Linked DNA regions of Bombyx mori. The main gene of each other region encodes a partner of the protein of the gene in region 2 in a complex. Links are inferred from orthologs where the notes say so. Each region holds a gene or a part of one and is shown on either strand. Other genes may lie near its edges.

Region 1 (3,948 bases), on a different chromosome or scaffold from region 2:
ACTTATGAGCTGTTTCAATTTGAGGCTGGAGCAAGTAACTATAATTTACACAAGTACCGACTGGGCGCAATTGGTTAAATATTGTTATCCAAAAAACTTTATTGATGTTTTAATGTTGCATACATGCATATTTTACATTGTCCATTAAAAGCTCAAAATATGTACAGGTGACTGAGAAAATGAAAAATTAAGTTATTTAAATATCCTAGAGTAAATTTTACTGAACTTATCATAATATTAGTAAATACTGTATATTAGTCGTCTATTATCAAAGGTGGCAATCTGTGCATTTGGACAAAAAAATGTTATTGATATGTCAATACAGATTGATTTGAATATAATAGTCTCCTTCAAAGAATACGGTTCAAAACCTGCATTAAATAAAGGTTAATACTTAACCTGTTATTTATCTAAGATGTCGCTCATAAGAGTTTTGTGACTACCAATGGAATACAAAGTCAATAATTCATTTTTCTGATTTACCAATAATTTTCCAAAAGTCACATTACCGGCTTTGATAATAGTCGACTCATATAATAAAACTTAGGTCTCGATTTAATTTCATTTAATTTTTTCCACCTAAATATGCTTATAACTATCGAAAATGTAAAACTTGATCTTTGTAATTAAGAGACGTGCACAAATCTATTTCTGGACTGGAACCGGCTAAACTTAACAGGGTGCTGTATTTAGTTCTTAGCACCGCACTGTATATGGTCGTGGCAGACACTGGTAGTTCTACTCTCACCTCACCCGAGTAGCTCATTTGGTAAAAATGTTTAGAAGTACCACCGGCAAACACACAGTCATCATGAAAGAATGACACATGAATCCCATTGTCTGGAATGTCAAAGACTGTCACTGCATCTAATGAACGAAGGTGCCACAGAGACAATCGAGGTCCACCACCGCATACCTGTAAATTTTTTATATATTCCATTATTAATTATCACCCAGGTGTTAAGTGGTTACCAGAGCCCATAGACATCAGTACGTTGTAGATGTCTATGGGCTCTAGTAACCACTTAACACCAAGTGAGCTGTGAGCTCGTCCACAATCTAAGCAATAAAAAAAATTCTACAATGTAAATGCGCCATCCATCTTGAGATATAAGTTCTAAGGTCTCAGTATAGTTACAACGGCTACCCCACCCTTCAAACCGAAACACATTACTGCTTCACTGCAGAAATAGACAGGGTGATGGTACCTACCCGTGCAGACTCACAAGAGGTCTTACCACCAGTAATTATGCAAATTATAATTTTGCAGGTTTGAGTTTCATTACACAATGTTATTCCTTCACCGTGAAATCAATTGTGAACATTGGTCAAGTACGTATTTCATTAGAAAAATTGATACCTGGCTTGTGGGATTCTAACATTGTTGCATTGCTAGATATGATTGCACCGGACATCTTATCCTTTAGGCCACAACGACTTCGACACAACTTTCCTTAGGAATGCTATTGATGGCTTAAGAGGGTTTTAAATAAAATAAATCGCCTTTTACAACACACACAGAAAAATATCAGTCACAATATTATTATGTAAATTCCCTATTAAACAAAAATAATTTTTTCACTGATTTTCATTTTTGTTTTTATTTTCACCTCTGGCATTTTAATGATAATATGTATGAATAATTAGATTGATGATAGATGAACTTACAATCCAGTCATCTCCAAGAGCTGCTGAGCCAATCCACTTGCCAATATCAGGTCTGCTGACCTTATTATTAGTGTGCGGTTCCAATTTATTGTGTGATTTTCCACTTCTAGTATCCCAAAGCATAACCAAACCATCTTCGCCTGCTGAAATAATCTGTTGGTTTCTGAAATTTTTTTTTAAATAACTTCTTTATTACTGTAATATTAGCCATAAGCATATATGTATATCACTGTCAGGGCAAATATATTAGCAGCTGAAATAAGGCAAATAAACAAACAAACAACTTACTTTCCATGAATAGAATGAATAAAATTATTATGTCCCTTATAAGTTGAAATAAGGCTCCCATCTTCCAAATTAAACACATACACATTATTGTCTCCACAACCAGCATACAGCTTCTCACTGTCTTGAGATAGCCACATGCAGTTCACATCGTTGTAGTCCAAAAAAGTTTGGGAAGGAATCTTTATGCTCCATACAGGTTTTGATAATTTAACAGAAACAACAGCCTTCCAGTCCCATCCGCATATTTCATTAACGGTACCAATTATAAGGAATTTTTCCGTTGAAACTAGACTACAAATCTGTTTTTTTGAATCTATAGAATGTATATGTTTTGGTTTGTTGTATTCAACAGATAATAATTCTAGTACTGGATTTAAAATACGATCTAGGCTGTAACAAAAATTTAGAATGAATTTATAAACCTCTCCAAATATTAAAATATACTTCTATAAATTTAATACAAATAACATACTCAAATACAGCAAGATCTCCATAAATATTGCCGGCCACTAAATATTTACCACACGGCGATAAAGTCTGAGATAAAACAGTGTTATACAACATTTTATTCAACATGGTAAAAGTTTTGTGTTTGCTCAGAAACTAGACTACTTCGTCAGTTTTTCTAGATGCCATGCAATATTTTAATTGAAAAAGAAACATAAACAACCATAGGTAAACAACACAATTTAAAGCTACATATAACCTCTATTTCGAATGCAGCGATTTTTTTGCGGCATACACTCTTTAGGCAAAGGGAACAGTGTCCATGCTCTATTTTAAAAAACCAAAATGATTTAGCTCTATAGCTCTTTATGACGAATTGAGATAAAATTAAGGCAAATTCACCCTGTATAAGAACAGAAATTTAGTAAGACCTAAGGTTATTTTTTTAACAAAGGAAGCTATATAGACGAAGCTATCTTTCCACAAATCAACTTAATAAATCACGTATTAATTTATTGACTCATTACTATTATAGGTTAGAAACATTTTAATAAAATGAAATAGGTACTTCACTTTACTCTTACTAAAACTCTTATTACACTATATTATTATGTACTCTTATCTAAAACAAAAATATTGTGGTTTTATTGACATTTGCCTAAGTTTCTTTTCATATATTTCATTTTGTTTGCCGAAAACTCATTAAATCATGTTACATGTATTATTTTTATTCAAAAATTATGCTTTTTATCTTATTGTTTAGCGATCTCAAAATAGAAAAGTTATTCTAAAGTTCCAATTGATTTGCTTGACTTTGTCATTGTCAGTTAAAAACTATAGATAAAATGAAACATCTAAATTCATAGCCATTTCGTTGTCTATGAATAATTCAATCTAAAAAAATCAAAACCAAGCAAGATGGTCGTGTTCAATTCTTTTTAAACATAAACATATAATCTAATAATATTGTGAGTTATTGATCATTAACGTTGATACATTTTTTGAAAGAGAAATTGTTATTTATAGATTATTTTACTAACTTTTCTGGGAGTTTCTAATCTCGTGGCCTAATTCAGAACCTTCAATTTGCACACCGTAAGTGTTACGATTGGTTTTAGGTATATAATACGAAATAATGTATAATGGGATCGGGTTGACGACGCCACGGGGCTCCGGTACAAATGGCTACGTACAGAGAAATTGGGCCACGGTAAGAAAAACAAAAGACTCCGTCAACTACCGGACTGAAGATGAGATCGCCAAGTTGGATTCGGCGTCAAACAAACAACCAAATAGAGAAATACTCGATCATGAGAGGAAAAGGAAGATTGAAGTCAAGTGTGCAGAGTTGGAAGATAGCCTGGAAGAACAAGGGTGAGTAGTTAGCATAAATACAACAAATACACAGAAATCGGATTCATGGTATTGGAGATTTGTTCCGGGGATGGTCTCTTAAATTTTTATGATATGAGGTTGGCACACGTTGGGCTTTATAAATCAACATTATTTTGTAATTCTTGCTACCTTTTTCAGGGTTTCCAATTA
Region 2 (3,611 bases):
TGAACCAGTTCTAAATTATAAACTAAAATTCTATGAAAAATTACCCATATTTATCTATAATACGAAATGATATTAATTTGTTTTTCGTAGTTTCCTTCCTTCTTGCGTCGATAATCCTCAGTGCTGAGGGTCGCGGCCTCCTCTAATAACTTTCTCCTGCATCATCTTGCGCCATTCCTGCCTGTCCTCGGCTGTATGGATAGCAACGTGGACTGAAGTTTTGAGAGTGGAGCGTATTTGGTCCGACCAGCGCATTGGATTTCTGCCTCTGTGCCCTCTCCCGCATACCTTGCCTGTTACCAGCAACTTTTCCAGATTCTCACCTCTCTTTCTGGCGATATGTCCAAAGATCTCTAAACTCCTCCGCGCGCATGTAGTGCGGAGGCGCATTGGAATCTTGAGCTCGGTAAGAATGGATTCGTTGGTTCTGTGTTCTGTCCAACGAATCCCGAGCATTTTCCTCCAGCACCACATCTCAAACGCGTCGATGCGTTGGCGGTCGGCTTTCTTGAGGGTCCAAGTCTCTGCGCCGTAGAAAAAAATGCCACCCAAGCACAGTCCATTTGGAACATAGCCCTCTTTGCCATACTGATTCGCCTTCTGAGGTCCTTTTCGGAGGTTCCATTACTAGCTATGACGGAGCCCAGATAAATGAAATCCTCTACGTCTTCCAGGTTTAGCTTATTCGTAGTTTAATAAGTTATTATTGTTAGTAGTATTATTTACTAGTCGAAATATAAATTTTTAATTATCTTATGATGAGAATCTTATATTAATGAGAAAGATATTCAACAAAAATAGTTTCGTTCTAATAAATTAGCATAGTAATAGTACAGTGAACTAGCAATTTATTTTGGTAATTCTGAATTTAAACAAACATATTGATGAGAAGAATTCATTTTTACTTTGCAAATTTGTAAATACACGCTCTGTAGCAATGTACGGACATATAATAATATGAAGAAACAATAATAGCATCTACAAATATATATGTACTACGTGGTACTACATTTAATAAAATTAATACAACATTTATTAATTAAATTAATGAAATTGTGGTTTTAAAGTTTTAGGGGTGTATAAAAAATGGGGGGCGCTGAAAAATAATTGATATTCAAAGGGGGCGGTAAAAGAAATAAGTTTGATAATCACTGCTCTAAGTATTTCATTTTTAAATACTCATAAAATGGGTCATTTCAAAAAATAATATGACATGAAAAAAATCATATAAAAGACATATTATTCACGTGCTCACGTGAAAATAAAAACTATGATTGCATTATAGCTGTTCGCCTGTGTTCTTCTTTTTACTTTACACAAATAAAATTTCAAATTAATCAAAAATCAAATTGCAAATTTAATTCTCGTAAACTGTTGAGTGGCGAAAAAGCCAAGTGGCACGTCATATTTAACTGTCAAACATAACAAAAAAAGTTTGGATTGACGCCAAAAAAGCCGAAGCCGCCATTATTGTGAAATCGTATTGTAAAAATAAATTTCACGTGCTCACAGTGAGTACGATACAGTAAACAAGCTAATTAAACTAAAGTAAATCATGGCTGACAACGACGATCTTCTCGACTACGAAGATGAAGAACAAGCAGATCAACAGACTGCTGACGGGTCTACCGAAGTGGCGCCAAAGAAGGAGGTTAAAGGATCCTACGTATCCATCCACAGTTCTGGTTTTAGAGACTTCTTACTTAAGCCAGAGATACTCCGCGCTATTGTTGATTGCGGTTTTGAGCATCCTTCCGAAGTTCAACACGAATGCATTCCGCAAGCCGTCCTCGGTATGGACATACTTTGCCAAGCCAAGTCCGGTATGGGTAAGACAGCCGTGTTTGTTTTGGCAACATTGCAGCAGCTGGAACCCTCCGAGAGCCACGTTTACGTGCTTGTAATGTGCCACACCAGAGAGTTGGCTTTCCAAATAAGTAAGGAGTACGAGCGTTTCTCGAAATATATGTCAGGAGTCAGAGTATCAGTATTCTTTGGTGGTATGCCAATTCAGAAAGACGAGGAAGTCCTTAAGACAGCATGTCCTCACATTGTAGTGGGAACTCCCGGTAGAATTTTGGCATTAGTAAACAGTAAGAAACTTAATTTGAAACATTTAAAACACTTCATCCTTGATGAGTGTGATAAGATGCTGGAATCTCTAGACATGAGGCGAGATGTGCAGGAGATATTCCGGAACACTCCTCACGGGAAACAGGTGATGATGTTCTCAGCCACATTGAGTAAAGAAATCAGACCTGTGTGTAAGAAATTTATGCAAGACCCAATGGAAGTTTATGTAGATGATGAAGCCAAACTCAAGCTACATGGACTGCAGCAACATTATGTGAAACTAAAAGAAAATGAGAAGAATAAAAAACTCTTCGAACTACTTGATGTATTGGAGTTCAATCAGGTGGTTATTTTTGTGAAATCAGTACAGCGCTGCATAGCTCTGGCACAACTGCTCACCGACCAAAACTTCCCTGCCATTGGTATCCACAGAAATATGACCCAGGATGAGCGTCTCTCCCGCTATCAACAGTTCAAGGACTTCCAAAAAAGGATCCTGGTTGCAACAAATTTGTTTGGCCGGGGAATGGACATTGAAAGGGTAAATATTGTCTTCAACTATGACATGCCTGAAGATTCAGATACATATCTACATCGTGTCGCCCGCGCAGGAAGGTTTGGTACCAAAGGTCTGGCCATTACTATGATATCTGATGAAAATGATGCCAAGATCTTAAACCAAGTACAAGATCGTTTCGATGTGAACATTACAGAGCTGCCTGAAGAAATTGAGCTCTCTACCTACATCGAAGGACGATAGATTAAGTTTCATTCCCATACCTATTTACTGCTGTGGCTCATTTTGTTGGTAATTAGACTGGCCTGCTTTAACATTGATTTGTAATACATTGAGCCACATTTACTGTTTAACTAGGTTTATCTAATTAAAGTGACATTTCATATTGTGATATCTGAGTGTTTTATTTCTTTACCAACAATTTGGGAGCTTTCATCGTTATCAGTAAGACAGGCTGTGATATGTTTAACTTTAGAATGTAGACAGGAAATTGATATATTTATTTTGACCATGTTCATATTAATGTAACAAAATATCCATTTTGAACATATCATTTTGTCTTTATGACTTCATATTTTTATATTCTTAGACATGCAAAATTTACTGATATTGGATGTTAATACTTCACACAAATACTACTGGATGCATTTGGATAAAATTTCATGCCTAAAAACTTCAGAATAAAACAAGCCATAATTTAATTTAGAGTACCTACGTACAGTGTGAGAGGTGGGGTGCAAGTAGTTTCAAGAAATTACTGTTTTTAGAGCCTTGCTATAGGATAATTATACAGGAACGCGACCAGTTTTAACTGAAAAGTACAGAAGGCCCATGTCCAGTAACTGGTATCCACTACAAAATCAAAATCTATAATTGTCTGCCTACACTATATTGATTTAATTAAACTAAATTAGAAACACGTCCAAAGATTTTTTTATTATATAAACTGGCATTTTAATCTATGTTCACAAAAGACGAAAAAGCGATAATGCTAAAAACATACTTTATTTTAGCACCATTT

The links. Proteins that work in one complex are often made in the same cells at the same time.
Region 1: ATP-dependent RNA helicase WM6 (region 2) and THO complex subunit 6 share a complex: the UniProt entries of both Homo sapiens proteins name them as parts of the transcription/export (TREX) complex. The link is inferred for Bombyx mori from reciprocal best matches to the Homo sapiens genes DDX39B and THOC6.

Annotation. Positions count from the first base shown.
Region 1 is NC_085116.1:3,183,606-3,187,553, forward strand, and holds THO complex subunit 6, read right to left. Parts: upstream 2,710-3,948; 5' UTR 2,533-2,709; coding exon 2,429-2,532; intron 2,347-2,428; coding exon 1,957-2,346; intron 1,832-1,956; coding exon 1,669-1,831; intron 917-1,668; coding exon 596-916; 3' UTR 551-595; downstream 1-550. Other genes in the region: serine/arginine repetitive matrix protein 2, read left to right, coding at 3,539-3,777. UniProt on the Homo sapiens protein: Component of the THO subcomplex of the TREX complex which is thought to couple mRNA transcription, processing and nuclear export, and which specifically associates with spliced mRNA and not with unspliced pre-mRNA.
Region 2 is NC_085122.1:1,018,132-1,021,742, forward strand, and holds ATP-dependent RNA helicase WM6, read left to right. Parts: upstream 1-1,163; 5' UTR 1,164-1,555; coding exon 1,556-2,833; 3' UTR 2,834-2,983; downstream 2,984-3,611. UniProt on the Homo sapiens protein: Involved in nuclear export of spliced and unspliced mRNA. Component of the TREX complex which is thought to couple mRNA transcription, processing and nuclear export, and specifically associates with spliced mRNA and not with unspliced pre-mRNA.